Ovis aries: one gene and its partners. The protein of the gene in region 2 interacts with the protein of the main gene of each other region in a biochemical or structural test. Links are inferred from orthologs where the notes say so. Each region holds a gene or a part of one and is shown on either strand. Other genes may lie near its edges.

Region 1 (5,208 bases), on a different chromosome or scaffold from region 2:
ATAAGGGTGGAGAAAAGACTACTTGGGGAATGGGAGGGAAAAGTGGGAGAGAGATGTGGAAAGTGGTATACCCAGTCCAGTTCTATGAAGCTAGAATTATCCAGAGAGTTTAGACTCTCAACCCTTCAAATTACCTAGGCATCACGTTGAGCTAACCTCCACCTAGCTCAGAGGAGAAGAGGGTAAACTGTGGAACTAGACTCCCTTGATTCAAATCCCAGTTCCTTGACTTACTAGTCATGGAACCCTAGGCAAGCTTCTCTATTCCTAACCTATAAAACAAATGGGGACATGATAGCTAGTAAGGGTTGTTGTGAAGCCTTGTTGTTCAGTCGCTCAGTTGTGTCCAACTCTTTGCAACCCCATGGACTGCAGCACACCAGGCTTCCCTGCCCACCACCAACTCCCAGAGCTTGCTCAAACTCATATCCATTGAGTCAGTGATGCCATCCAACCATCAAATCCCCTGTTGTCCCCTTCTCCTCCTGCCTTCAATCTTTCCCAGCATCACGGTCTTTTCCTATGAGTCAGCTCTTTGTATCAGGTAGCCAAAGTATTGGAGCTTCAGCATCAGTCCTTCCAATGAATATTCAGGACTGATTTCCTTTAGGATTGACAGGTTTGATCTCCTTGCTGTCCAAAGGACTCTCAAGTCTTCTCCAACACCACAGTTTGAAAGCATCAATTCTTCAGCACTCAGCCTTCTTTATGGACCAACTCACATCCATACATGACTACTGGAAAAACCATAGCTTTGATTATACAGATTTTTTTGACTCTACGGACCTTTGTTGGCAAAGTAATGTCTTTGCTTTTTAATACACTGTCTAGGTTTGTCATAGCTTTTCTTCCAAGGAGCATGCATCTTTTAGCTGTAAGGTTTAAGTGAGTTAACATGGGGAAGGTTCTCAGATCAGAGTGAGGCTTTGGTTGCTATTGCTAATAGCTTATACTCAACACTTCTCTAAAGTAACATTAACATAATAAGCAAAAGTTCATCAATAACTTTATGTCTCTGAGCTATCAATAAATTAATAGATCTGTGTCAAACAGGACATAGTTGTTTTGGTTTTTTTTTTTTTCTGTCCCCACTCCATTGGTTTATTTCTTTAACTCACGGTTGACATCCTTACTGGGTAAACTTACAACCCACATAACTCTCAAATCTAAAAAGTAAAGCCGTACCCTGACAGACTTGATAACCATTATTTTAAATTATAATTCATGAATTTGCATAGTCTCTCCACCAATTAAATAAATAAACCATTCAGTTTTAAGCCAAAGTCTCAAAGTAGGGACACATCCATTTATGCTAGATGGTTCAATAAATATCATTTCCACCCTTTTATATTCCTCTAGGACTTAATTCCTTGCATTTTAACTCTGTAGGACCCATCTTCTAGATAAGGAGGACAATAACAATGGAATCAATCATTCTGAAATCATAACTCCTCTATTTACTTATCCATAAAGTTCTCTCTCTACGTTTGGTCTCATTTCTCTTTTATTCTCTCTTGTCTACTATTTATTTGTGACCTAGACCGGGAAGCTAATGAATTTCCTTTCTAGGTCTCCAAATAGCCTTGTTTATTATTAACAATTTTGGTTGATTATTAACTATTAACACAGTCAGTGGGTCAGCCCACTTGCCAGACAGGGAGACCTTGGTAAAGAGGAGAAACAATGTGGCCAGAAGGCAGCCAACAAAGCCAACCTGGAGGTAGAAATAAGAAGCAGGACTTGGGCACATGTGGGGCAATGGGAAGAGATGCTACCCTGGCTTCTACAGGGGAGACTTACTCATAGCAAGGGTTTCTGATAGCCTCTGGTGGAGAAATATACATGTATGGTGACACGGGCTTGTCCACAAAGGCCCCGAAGCCAATCCGCAGGTTACTGGTGAGCTTCCGCATCTGGGAGGCCAGCTTGGTACCCAGGTTCTGGATGTTCCGCAGGTCATCCTTCATGGAGTAAGACAAGTCCATTAAGTAGTAGATGTCCACAGGGTAATCTTCCACCTGCCGAACTTGGACGGAGAAAATCTTCGAATCATCTGTAAGGCAGAAGGACATTAAGTTTTCTCCTCTTCTTCCTCTAAGACTTAAGCAGATTTGGACATATTTGCTGGGCTGTGCTGTGCTCAGTTGCTCAGTTGTGTCCGACTCTTTGCCACCCTGTGGACTGTAAACTGCCAGGATCCTCTACCCATGGGATTCTCCAGGCAAGAATACTGGAGTGGGTTGCCATGTCCTCCTCCAGGGGATCTTCCCAACCCAGAAATCAAACCCAGGTCTCCCACAGGCAGATTCTTTACCATCTAAGCCACCAGGGAAGCCTATGAATACTGGAGTGGGTAGCCTATCCCTTCTCCAGGGGATCTTCCTGACCCAGGAATGGAACCAGAGTCTCCTGCATTGCAGGTGGATTCCTTACTAGCTGAGCTATCAGGGAAGCCTTTGGACATATTTAGGATGAAGCAAATTTTTGTTTTGTTTTGTGTTTTGCTGTGCCATGTGGCTTATGGGATCTTAGTTCCCTGACCAGGGACTGAACCCAGGCCACCACAGTAAAAGTGACAAGTCCTAACCACTGGACCACCAGGGAATTCCCTGAAGTAACTTCTTGAGCAAACCGAACTTGAAAGCCCTCGTTCCTCTTTCCCCTTGCAATTCTATTACTCTTTCAGTCTCTTAACTCTCCTATTTTTAACCTCTTCTTTTCCATTCTAAAAGTCTTCACTGTCTCTAAATCCCCATCTGTCTAATCCCTGGGTCCCAAGGGTTTACTACCCAGGATCACAGAAGTGTTGGCAGTTACTACATTCCGAACTCTGTAAAGGGAGGAACTGTGTTCCACTCTTCTCTGAATCGCAAGGTACCCAACACATGCCTTGCACATAAAATGCTCTTTCTTAAATTCTTGATTTAATTGGAAAGTCAGTATCAGTGCTTTGAAAAGCCTGTCTCTTAGCCTAATCCTTACCCCCTCTGAAGGTCTCCCGCCCCTATTTTCTCTGTCCCTATACATGGCCTTGCCTCAATCTCACATGGAAAAGGGTCTTATAAACTGCTTCCTCATCTTATATATCATTTGAGCCCCAAGAGAAAGCTATGTACTCGGTAAAGCAGACATTGAGGAAAACAAGAAACAGACATTTTTATGGCAATCCACTCCAGTACTCTTGCCTGGAAAATCCCATGGACGCAGAAGCCTGGTGGGCTACATGGGGTCACAAAGAGTGGGATGCGACCTAGCGACTAAGCATCACAATGTCAGCAGGGTTAAATAACTTTCCCAAGGTCAAATAGCTAATCTATGGAAGAGTGAAGATTCAAACTCCGATCTTCGGACTCCAGGTCCCCAAGCCTTCCATTTGCTTCCATTCTCCTGCTCATACCTCCCCCCACATCCTTCTCTTCCCACCACAATTTCCTCATGAGCCACATCCACCGGCTTCCTACCTGGCCGTAGGCGGAGGGCAATCCTCTGGGGACTGACTTGGGTAATCTGGGAGCTGTCTCCAGTGCCCTTGTCACTGAGGGGCCTGGCCTCCAGGATTCTGGCCTCACTGATCGGGAACTCGATGGACTCTGGGGCGCAGTTATCCTTCAGCAGGTTCTCCTTCAGGTTACAGCGGGGCGAGCCTGGAGGCAGCGCCTGTAAGACAGAGGTCCAGAGGCAAGTCCTGTGATCAGACCAATGGTGGCTCTCTGCTTCCTGCAGCCTCTGCCACCTCCCGACCGCCTAGAGCTTACCCAGCACTTTGGAGCTAAACCAACATCAGTGAACACGTGTGGTCCTTCCTAAGACAGTACCTAGGCCTGTTGTACAGAATGGGGAAATTGAGGCATCAGAAAGGTTAGGTGAGTGTCTGTTCTTGGATTGGCAGGTAAGAAGAGGGACAGTACAATAAGATGCCTATTGGGCAGTTTTTCAAACTGTAAAATGCAATCTACCTGTGGGTTGGAAAAATCAACATAGTAGGTTTCAACTACCTACTAATTAAGTAAAATACAACATAATAGAATGTCTTCCCAGGTGGCTCAGTGGTAAAGAATCTTCCTGCAATACAGGAGTTTGATCACTGGGTCAGGAAGATCTCCTGGAGAATGAAACAGTGACCCACTCCAGCATTCTTGCTGGGAAATCCCATGGATAGAGGAGCCTGGTGGGCTACAGTCCATTGTGTCCCAAAAGAGTCAGAAACAACTTAGCAACTAAACAACAACATAACAGAATAGAAAGTATCAAAGTATATAAGTAGTAAAAGTAAATATTATTTTGTGAAAGGTTTACATATTGGGAAGTGGGGTATAAATTGTATAATAAATATGGTATACATATACTGTGGAATATTACTCAGACATAAAAAGAAACAAAATTGGGTCATTTGTAGGGATATGGATGGACCTAGAGCCTGTCATACAGAGTGAAGTAAGAGAAAAACAAATATATATCAATGCATATATGTAGAATCTAGAAAGATGGTACAGATGAACCAATTTCCAGGGCAGGAATAGAGATGCAAAATAGAGAACAGACACGCTGACACAGTTGGGGGAGCAGAGGGTGGGACAAACTGGGAGAGCAGGATGGACATACACACTACCATGTGTCAAACAGATAGCAAGTAGGAGGCCATAAAGCACAGGAAGCTCAACTCAGCGCTCTGCAACGAGGGGTGGGTGGGAGGGAGGCAAGAGCGAAGGGATATATGTATATATAGAACTGATTCCCTTCGTTGTACAGCAAAAACTAACACAACATTGTAAAGCAATTATACTCCAATAAAAAAGAAAGAGAGGAAGACGATGTACTTTCTGTGAGTCAGGGTCCAAACAGTTTGGAAGCCACTGTGTTAAGACACTGCTGGGGTGTGAGACCCATGAGAGCAGGGATTATGTGTATCTCTTTTCCCCTCTATTCCCAGCACCCAATCTGAGGCTGGCCACCAAGGTGATAGGGGAGGATACAGGGAGAGAACAGAGAGTAAGTAGGAGCTAAGAGCACAGATGGGCTGAGATCACAGCTCAGCATTGCCTCTTACTAGCTAGTTACCAGGGCAAGTGACCTAAACTCTCCAGGCCTTGCTTCGTCATATTCACAAGGATGTTCCACAGGACAACAGTATAAGGCAGTACCTGTAAAACACAGGGTATGGTGCCTGCCATAGGGTAAGTGCGCGATAAATGTTAGCTATTATTGTAA
Region 2 (5,208 bases):
ATTATATCCCTATTTTTCCTACTGTTATCTTCCTTAGCTTGTCCTTGCATTTTTCTCTTCCCCCATTTCCAGTCTGGTAGTAGTCACTAAGCCCATCCTTTCTGCCCCTACCTGACTGCTAACTGCATCCCCTAAGGCAGCCTCATGTTTGCATTCTTACCTCCCCCTGTCCTTTCTTTCCCCTCTCCCCAGTACCTTACCTAAATTCAGGTACTTTGAAGTACCTGCTGATGACTGGAAGCTGTGGGCTTCCAGCCTCTCTTTGGGCCCTGGTTCCTGAGTTAAGCCTGCCATCAGATCCTGTTGGTTCTACCTCTTCAAATTTCTGATGAGTGGCATCCTCTCCTCCATTCTAATTCTGGCTTCATTGCCTCCGACTTGTGCCAGTGCAGGGTCTTTATAACTAACCTCCCTGGTAGCTACTGGAGTGAGTTTCCTGAAGTCTAGTTCTGGTTGTGCCCCTTTTCTGATCATCGCCTCCCTTGGCCTCCTGTTGCCCTCTTGTAGGTGAAATCCCGCATCTTCCTCCTGAGTCCACCCCTGCCTTTCCATCCTAACCTTGACTTCCCCATCACTGCTTACTTGCAGGTACCCTGTGCTTCAACCAGCCTGCTCCTCACTTCCCTGAATGCTCCTCCGTGATTTCCTGCTTTTCCACCTTTGCTTATGCTATTCTCTCTGCCTGGAATGCCACCCCTGACTCATCTCCAGCTGGCTGGAATAGTGGAGAGAGCTTGGGCTTTGGAGTCAGAAAGACCTGGGTTTGGATCCTGGCTTCACAACTTATTAGCTGTGTGACTTTGGACAAGCACCTTTGAGCCTGAGTTTCCTAATCTGTAAAAATGGAAATAACGACACCTACCTTGCAGGGTTGTTGTAAGGATTAAATGAAATTGTGTACACAAAGCAATTGACATATTGTCAATAAAAGATAGATCATTGTTTTTTCTTATTATCTTTTTTGTTTAAATCTTAACTTCAAATGACACTTTTCATGGAGACATTTTAGTCCCCTTTGCCTGACCTGAAAGGGATCTCTCCTATGAGCGCATACTGTTTGGTTCTTACCTCATTCTGCCTTCTATTATAACTCTGTATGTAGCTATCCACTCTGCTGAGGGCAGACGTGAGTGCTTACCCTTCTTGGTTCCCAGCCACTGAGAACCAGGGCCTTCCCCACAACAGACCCTCAGAACTGCTCACTGGAAGACTGGAAGGAGAAAGCCCACAAGAGAGACATTGGGACTGAGTGTTGTGTGCTTGACGACAGAGGTGGAGTCTTTATGGGAAGATAACGTTGTTGTGATGGAGCTGTGTAGGGGCTGTGTGCTTGAGATAATGTGTATGTATGTAGAGACTATAAGTAACTTTGTAGGAAAGAGCTCAATGCATAGGCTGGGGTACATTTAGGGAGAATGAATATTCATGGATCAGGATGGAGGTAGGCAAGGGTTATGCTGGGGGAGGTCAGGTCCAGCCCTTCAGCTGCCCAGTCCAGCCCTAAATGAGCCTGCCGCAGCCTGAGGCCGGATATGTCAGTCTCACCCACAGCCCTCCCCTCCTCCCCGCGGTTACAGACTCAGAGGCCAAATTTGGTAACAGACTTGAGTGTTACTCCCCCCAACCCTCTTACATTCTGAGTCTGTCTTCAGCTTTCTCTCTCCCTCTGTCCCTCTCTGTAACTCCCTGTCTCTCGGCAGCTCCCTCTGTAGGTATCTGCTCTGACTATATTCTCTATGTCCCCCAAATTCCTTACCCCCAGTACACTTACATTCCATTCCTTGCTGGGATTTGACCTCTGTCCTCTATCCTCCCCCCACCTCCACCCCCCCCAATTGCCCAACTCCTCTGGAATGCATCTCAGGAATGTCTTGAGGGAGGAGGAGCTCTCTGGGAGGGGGACATGGTGGGGGGGAATTGTTGCTGTTCCATAAAACATGACAGAAAGTAGAAAGGGGAGCACAGTTCTCCAGCCGGAACAGGAACTGGATAGCTTCTCCCCTTACTTCCAGGGGCCCGCTTCTGTGCTCTCATTGCCCCCAACTCATTTGATTCCTTTTGCTCCTTCACCCACTTGTAGCTGTGTGGGTGTCCACTCAGGACCAGCTTGAAAGTGATGGTAGCCATGAGTCAACTCCCTTATCGGGGGCTCAACAGAGGTTTCCGTGCTTAAGGAGGAAGGGGGGTGTCCATATATCCGGAGGAAATTGGGGGAGATGTGCAGTTTCAGCTGAGGGTGGAAGGTCTTTTCAGTGTGTCCTTGGCTTGACAGACCTTCCAGCCTTCCAGTGACCCTACAGCCAGGTCTGTCCAGCTCTCGGGAGAGGTGTGCCAGGGATGGGGAGGGGGGCAGAGACCTAGAACTGGGGAGAGTGGGAGGGTCCCCTCTTGTTGGGAGTAAGGATTGAGGGCGAGCTATGGTTTCTTCTTTTTGGAGACTCGAGATTATTTATAAGGTCAGAAATTGTCTGTCAGACTCCTGATCCAGACCTTTGCCACATCTGCCTCCTGTCTCCTGTTTCTACCTAGATTTTCAACCTCTCCTCATCTCTTCACCCTCCAAAAACACACCCCTCCCCAGCTTCCCTGGTTCTCAGCTGCTGCCTCTGTTTCCCACCTTCTGCTTCTAAGACCCCAACCTCCGCTTCCAAGCTTCCCTCTAGCTGTGCTTTCTCCCCCTTGGGGCTAGCAGTTTGCAGAGAGGGGAATGGGCTGCCTGGGTGTGCGCACCTCTCTTAGGTAGGAGGCACCAATCCCTGGACGGAGCTGGTCACATCATCAGCTGCCAGGCAGACTTGTTGTCTGGTGCTCTGTGCGCCACCTGCCACCTCCATGGAGGGTGGAGCCTGGAGGGCGGCGGAAGGCTGGGTGGGACTAAGACACTGTCAGGAGAGGCAGCTGAGCTGGAGGGCAGTGTTTGAGAAGGACTTACTGAAGAGGACAGAGCATAGGAGGAGTTATGGTGAGAACTGGGTATTAACCTGCTATCTTAGAAGGAGCAAGGCCTGAGGAGTTAAGAGGGACTGGGCTCTCTCTCTGAGCTGCCTTGAAACACACACATATCCAGTCTGATTCCCCTTCTGCAAAATTAAAGAGTTGGCTAGATCACTTTTGAGATCCCCTTGGATTAGAAAAACCATGATTCTGGCTTGACTGCTGGGGGAGCCAAATGTGGACCGAGCTGCTCTGGGAGGCCCCCAGCATGTCAAGTTACTGGAGAGCTGAGACACGTAAGCCAGGATGGCTTGAACAGCAGTGTTGGGCCTCCCTGCCAGACTAGCTCAAGTCAGTGTTTGCAGGGCTCAAGAGCCCTTGGGGATTATCTAATATAACGTCTTCATTCTGCAAAGAAGAAGAATAAAGCTGTGAGAGGAAAGATCACGTGATGAGTCAGGGCAGCGCTCTGGAAATCCCAGACAGGGAGAAGTCAGAAGGATATAGTAAGAGACAAAGAGAAAAAGACTGAACCAGGAAGGGTGAAAATAGGGCAGAGACAGGACTGGGAAAGGAGGTGAGCAGGGACAAGGGTAAGAGAGAAACACTTGGAAGAAAGAAGGGAGGCCTAGATTCCAGTGCTGGGGGTGGGGTGGTGTCCTCAGGTAACACTGTTTCAGACCTGCCTTTGTGCCTTGCAGACCAGCCTCTCCTTCAGAGGTCTCAGACACCTAAGACTAGTCCTTTTGATACAGCTTATCTTTCACTCTTTAATATCATTAAATAAAACAAGAACACACTCACACTGTTTTCTGCTTTGGTGACTCCCTTTCCCGGTTCTCCATGTGGGGGGCCTCCTCTCCTCCAGTGAGGGTGTATTCTAATGCCCTGATGCCATGGGCCAGGTATAGCCAGGCTGGAGAGAAGAAGCCGCCACCATGGTTGCGCTTTCGCTGAAGATCAGCATTGGGAATGTGGTGAAGACGATGCAATTCGAGCCGTCTACCATGGTGTATGACGCCTGTCGGATCATCCGTGAACGGATCCCAGAGGCCCTGTCTGGCCCTCGTGAGTCTGACTGCCCAGGTGGCTGGGGCGGGAGCCCTGGTCCCTTCTTGTTCCCAGGCTCTTGGCCTTGGGAGATGACTCTGTTGGCCTCTCATCTCTCAGGTCTGTGTTCCTTGGGCCCCGCCCTCCTCTTTAGGCCCAGGATCACTGGGAAGGTAATAAGGGGTAGTGGAGTAGCCATTCAGCTACATTGGGGTTTTTCTTTAAGCCTAAGCTGACCCATCTTCTCTTTTAGCCAGCGACTTTGGGCTGTTTCTGTCAGATGATGACCCCAAAAAGGGTATATGGCTGGAGGCCGGGAAGGCTTTGGATTACTACATGCTCCGAAATGGGGTGAGTATCACTTCACAAGGACCACCAATATCCTCTGCCATCACTTCCCTCCTTCTGCCTCCTATTCAGCACCCATATCTGTTGTCTTTGAGCTCTCCCATGCTTTCTAATAATAGGCAGTCATAAGACTGTTTTCACGCAGTCTTCCTTTTAGTAATCTACTTTCCTTCCCTCTCTGGCTGCCTAAAAAGAAAGTAATATCTTTAGCTTAAAGTGGGCCTCTCCTGTTCCTGACCCAATAGGACACCATGGAGTACAGGAAGAAACAGAGGCCCTTGAAGATCCGCATGCTGGACGGCACCGTGAAGACTGTCATGGTGGACGACTCGAAGACTGTCACCGACATGCTCATGACCATCTGTGCCCGCATTGGTAAGGGGCGTGCGGGGCTGGGGGCTCAGAAGGAGGCCTAAAAACTCTGCTGGGGATGCTACCAACCCACCCCCTCCCCCAGGCATCACCAACCATGATGAATATTCACTGGTTCGAGAGATTATGGAAGAGAAGAAGGAGGAGGTGACAGGGACCTTACGAAAGGACAAGACACTGCTGCGAGACGAAAAGAAGATGGAGAAACTGAAGCAGAAGTTGCACACAGATGACGAGTGTAAGCAGAAGGGGACTGGCGAGGGCATTTGAAACAACTGGGGTGTCGGGGGCAGCCATTTCTACATTATTTTCTGAGTTTTCTTTTGCAAGGTACTGTTTAAACACTGGGGCTGCATCTGTGGTAAAACAAAGTCCTATGCTCATGGAATGGAACGTATTACTGAGAGGGTGGGACATGAAGAAACAAAAAATCAAAGACTGACGGTGTAAGGGCTGCAGGGACTTGGCACTGAGGGGACCCTCTGTGCCCCAGTGAACTGGCTG
Region 3 (5,208 bases), on a different chromosome or scaffold from region 2:
AGATTAGGAGGCTAGGTTTTAGCTTTTTCTTTCTGAGAGGACTGATACTCCTGTCACATGGCGAATGATTTTTCTGCCTCCTTGTTCCTCTTTTACTGTAAAAAACGAAGAGTCACTCAGTTGTGTCTGACTCTTGGTGACTGTGGACTGTAGCTCGCCAGGCTTCTCTGTCATGGAATTTCCCAGGCAAGAATACTGGAGTGAGTTTCCATTCCCTTCTCCAGGGGATCTTCCTGACCCAAGGATGGAACCTGGATCTCATGGATTGCAGGCAGATTCTTTACCATCTGAGCCCCCAGGGGAGCCCTTCTTACTGGCTTCCATGTTATTTGACACACATTATACCACACAGATAATAAACTGCAGGTTTGTTGTTACAGGAATATATTCATTCATTTGTTGATCTTATAAACATGTTGATTACTTAGACTTGATTTTTTAATGCAGTTTAACCATCCACCCTCCATCATCACTGCATGTGCATTTTCCTCCACAGGGTTTGGCTCTTTCGTGGAGAAAACTGTGATGCCTTACATTAGCACAACACCAGCTAAACTCAGGAACCCTTGCACAAATGAACAGAACTGCACGAGCCCATTTAGCTACAAAAATGTGCTCAGCCTTACTGATAAAGGGGAAGTATTTAATGAACTTGTTGGTAAGCAGCGCATATCTGGAAATTTGGATTCACCAGAAGGTGGCTTTGATGCAATCATGCAAGTTGCAGTTTGTGGAGTGAGTGCATTTATTCTCTACAAGGGGATATTATTTGTGTGGATTTTAAGTGTGATTTTTCTGTCAGAAAATATTACCTTAATTTCTATATCATACTGATTAATCCCTTAAATTCCCTCCCAACTGCAAGTGGTTTAAAAAAACGCATAGTTAATCCGGGTTTTAAAAGCCAAAATGCACACCATTTGAAACAGTGGGGCAGTGTAGCTTTAGCTGGTGTTCTGGGTTTTTTAAAGAGGCTCAGGGAACCCTGGCTTTCCAGCTTTGTGACTGAGATGGTATTGGGGTTATCTGAGACGTCACCAGGAACATTAAAAGTGCTCAAATAGATTGTGTCAGACACCATCTTCCTTTGGTTAGTTTTCTTCTGCTTATCTTTGAGAGGCATCGTCCCCATGTCTTAGTAATTTAAAAAGAAAGTTTTAAGTCCTAGTTTGAAAGCTGTATGAGAATAGATATTCTGAGAAGTCATATAATGTTTGTAATTTTAATTACAAGATTTTCAGTGACAGTAAGCTGATCCTCCATTGGACTGGTGGTTAGAATTTTTTGACCCATTTACCAGCCAAAAATTTTAGGTGACCTTTTAATGATGTAGCTGAGGACGGAAGTAGAAAACATTGTGAACTAGATGAAGTTTTATCTGTCTCATTTCCTCCTCTTTTTCTTTATAGTACCCCTGTGCCCTAAAAGACCTTTCTCTTCCAGATGCTTCTTAATGGTTACTTTTCAACCAAGTTTTAGTATGCTATTTGATACCCAAGATGATAATATAATACAGTGCTTGAGATAACGGTCTTTAGCCTGTTAGGACAAAGCTTCAAATGTTCCCATCACTGCTCATCCACTAGGCAATTTCCTTGCCATTCTAGAGGGCTGTTTCCTTCTCCTTAAGAGATAATAACAGATACACGTTAGAAAGTTTAAATACGGTAATCCATAGATAGTGCAAGTAGCCAACAAACAGTTAACAACTGTATTGTGGTCACTCTTGACTTCTCATCAGGGTAGATGCAGTTTAAGGATAGTCTCCACTTTTAAAGGAGAAGAGTAGTTTTCCAGGTGGTGCCTACCTTGATGCCTGTTTCCTCTCCAGCCGTTCATTTGTGATCCTGCTAGAAGCTCATATGGAGAAAGCATTCTCTGCACTGTCTCTGCCTGAACCTCAGCCTTGAGATTAAAACAGGCCATGGTATCCTGGCTGCTGCTTTCTGCTCCCTGTGCTGACTGAGAGTAACTGTTCCACTTACTTCTCTAAATGCAGAAGAGACATATTCCAGTTGGTCTGTCAGCATGCATAAACTTAATTCTTGCCTTCAAGGATTTTATAGTCTTAGGAAGATATATACAGATGTATGGAGTAAATAAAGACAGATGATTATAAAATTACTATTCAAGAGGATTTTACCACCACTTTAAATTTTTTGCTGAATAAGGTGGAGAATAAAATAAATGAACAAACAGTACTGATGGATTAAAAGGGGTGGAATTAAGCAGGGTCAAGTCTTTGAAGAAAATGCTTTTTTTTATAATTAAAAAGGGGAGGCTTTTTTTTAATATGGTGGCTGATAAAGGGAGTATATGCTCCAGAAGGTGGAGTAGGTATGGATGGGAAGGGGAGATAACAGTGTTTAGATAAAGTTGAGTGTGGGCTGAGACATTTTCGTTATTCATTAAGCACCTAGTAGAGATAAGATGATGCACAAAACCAGATGTGGTCCCTGCCCTGCTTGGAGTGGAGCTACCTTTTAATGGGGAGAAGGACATTGACTTTAAAAGGTAGTTTTTAAAAAAAGAGCTGAGACAGACAGATAGGCAAGGTGAAGTGTTATAGTGAGGCGAGGGAGTTTTATTCAGTGGGCTCAGTGCCTTTATCAGCAAGGATGTTATTAGCATTGTGAAAAGAGAAAATACAGAATTAAGTTGAAAGTATAGTGGTAGCCTATATAAAGATGAAAAGATTTAATCTTTGCTGAATTTCTGTAGCTAGTATTTTAAAATTGAAATCCTTTTCTTTTCAAGTCACTGATTGGTTGGAGGAATGTGACACGGCTGCTGGTGTTTTCCACGGATGCTGGGTTTCACTTTGCTGGAGATGGGAAACTTGGTGGCATTGTTTTACCGAATGATGGACAGTGTCACCTGGAAAATGATATGTACACAATGAGCCATTATTATGTAAGTGCTTAGTGCCTTACATTTAAGTGGATTCGGGTTTTTAGAGTATTATGGGTAATGGGCTTGTGGGTTTTCAGGATTGGGGTTCTGTTATTTTGGTAAGTTGGGCCCTGACCTAATGTGCAGGAAAGCTTTGTTGCTGTTCTGAGGCTGTGGCTTTGTGCCTGCTTCCTTCCGAGTAGCTGAGGGCCTGGTGGTTAACGGAGCTGCTGACTCCTGGCCCTGCACCCCAGCCCAAAGCTCTGTCTCCTCTTGCTTGGTCCATCAAGGGATAGCAAGTTTGATACTGAGTCTAAACAAATCATTTGTATAGTCTTACACTCCTTGTCTTATTTATATACGATCTAAGAAAGTAGGCATCCTGCCTCTACGGAAAACAAACATTGGCAGTTTGTTTAAGGTCTGGAAGAAACCTAAACCTTGCTGAATCTTGGTCTTTTTCTTAGTGATAATATACCTTTTATTATGTCAATTCTTCAATTTCATTGTTCTGACATCTAATATACATAGATAATCTTTTAAAAATCTTTTTTATTGAAATTTTTGTGTACACATAAAGATAGAAAAGGATTAGAAACCCATTAGACAGCACCCAGTTCAGCAATAATTTGTGGTGTTTCAGGCAATCTTGCATAAGTAATCCAGATATATTTGCAAATCATTATTTTCAGAAAGTATTGAAAAACTGGAGTATATTGGATATAATTACATACTAAATTTTATTACTTAATTTCTTAGGATTATCCTTCTATTGCTCACCTTGTCCAGAAACTAAGCGAAAATAACATTCAGACAATTTTTGCAGTTACTGAAGAATTTCAGCCTGTTTACAAGGTAAATATATACGTGTGGGATTAAAATAGGAACACATTTTTAGATCCTTATTGTTTAGTCATCAAAGGCAAAATGATATGTCTGAATTGAAATGTGGGAAAATGTCATCATATAGAAAGGCTAGATTTTACAAACGTGGTATTAATTTTAATTACATTGCAAAACTAGTTGTTTTTAGGTCTGACTCCTTATTTAGGATATATATCAAGAAATGGTTTTTAAAAATAGATAGTAGGTACTCAGTAGATGCTAATTAGTCAAGTTTTATAGGTTTTATCTTTTAATTGCAGGAACTGAAAAATTTGATCCCTAAGTCAGCGGTAGGAACATTATCTGCAAATTCCAGCAATGTGATTCAGTTGATCATCGATGCGTACAATGTGAGTGCATTTTAAGTAAGATCTGTTTTGGGCAGTACCCTGTTGAGAATACTTTGCTCAAAAAAAGTAAAACTCCTTTCATACACAATTTAGCAGGCCCTAGAAGACAATGTAAAACTTGTAAGTAAAATTCTGTATATGGAGGAAAAACTCATTCTCTTACAAAAATGTGTTTGCAAGGCAAAATAAAAGGCATGGTGGCGGGTGGATTTCTAAATTGTTTGAATGTCATTGAGTAATTCTCCTTTTTGGAAAACAAGTATGAAACAACTTCCATTTAGATTTATAGGATTACCTCAGTCTTCTTTACTTCCCTTCATTTTACAGATTCATTGATTTTGATGAATTGTGCCAGAAACCCTTTTTTTTTTCCTAATTCTTCTCTTGCCATATTTTTAGGGTACATAGTTCTCTGTTCTCAAGTGGTACACACACAGTCATATGTGCATGTACCATAAAATATATATGAATACATACATGACTTATTAAAGTAAGATTTGTAAGATTTTCACCCCACGTGGAAGGAAGTTGAAATTAAAGAGGAATTGTTCATCTTGAGTTTAGTTCTGGGTGCTTTAGGGATACTCACTCATTAAGCCTTGGTCAGTAACTGTTGTAAGTCATCGGAGGCCTTTGTAATACAACTGTAACTGTCCTGTGCTGCATACACCAGCTCCAGCCCTTTGACAAGTTGAATTTTATTTTCTACCTCATGCCAGGGGACACCCTACACAGATTTTTACAGACGTTCTAGATTCCGTTTTTTCCCTGTCACCCCAGAGTCGTTCTGTCTTTACAGCATATCTTAATGCTTTCCTAACTCCTTCTGCGGAGTGGTGTGACCAGGACCGAGCTCGCTGCTGCAGTCTTCTCCATTTGTCCTGCGCCCTCTGCTGTTCTACAAAAGCACTGGCTTGAATCCTCCCACTCTGGGTTTTCTTTCTTTGAGAGAGTGGGGGCAGGCCTGCAATGGCCCCTAAGCAGATTTGTTTCCAGCCTATGTAGTAGATTATTTACCTTTGTCTTCAGTGAGCTGAGGCTTCCCTGATGGCTCAGACGGTAAAGAATCTGCCTGCAATGC

Evidence for each region.
Region 1: the proteins of TLN1 (region 2) and ITGB3 form a complex in vitro, tested with the Homo sapiens proteins (6 studies listed by BioGRID and IntAct, with this or other methods). The link is inferred for Ovis aries from reciprocal best matches to the Homo sapiens genes TLN1 and ITGB3.
Region 3: the proteins of TLN1 (region 2) and ITGB1 form a complex in vitro, tested with the Homo sapiens proteins (3 studies listed by BioGRID and IntAct, with this or other methods). The link is inferred for Ovis aries from reciprocal best matches to the Homo sapiens genes TLN1 and ITGB1.

What each region holds. Positions count from the first base shown.
Region 1 is NC_056064.1:46,082,246-46,087,453, reverse strand, and holds part of ITGB3 (integrin beta-3), read right to left. Parts: intron 3,658-5,208; coding exon 3,462-3,657; intron 2,054-3,461; coding exon 1,801-2,053; intron 1-1,800. UniProt on the Homo sapiens protein: Integrin alpha-V/beta-3 (ITGAV:ITGB3) is a receptor for cytotactin, fibronectin, laminin, matrix metalloproteinase-2, osteopontin, osteomodulin, prothrombin, thrombospondin, vitronectin and von Willebrand factor.
Region 2 is NC_056055.1:52,813,772-52,818,979, forward strand, and holds part of TLN1 (talin-1), read left to right. Parts: intron 1-3,839; 5' UTR 3,840-3,872; coding exon 3,873-4,002; intron 4,003-4,237; coding exon 4,238-4,335; intron 4,336-4,577; coding exon 4,578-4,707; intron 4,708-4,789; coding exon 4,790-4,942; intron 4,943-5,197; coding exon 5,198-5,208. UniProt on the Homo sapiens protein: High molecular weight cytoskeletal protein concentrated at regions of cell-matrix and cell-cell contacts. Involved in connections of major cytoskeletal structures to the plasma membrane.
Region 3 is NC_056066.1:19,321,596-19,326,803, forward strand, and holds part of ITGB1 (integrin beta-1), read left to right. Parts: intron 1-496; coding exon 497-735; intron 736-2,757; coding exon 2,758-2,913; intron 2,914-3,651; coding exon 3,652-3,747; intron 3,748-4,037; coding exon 4,038-4,127; intron 4,128-5,208.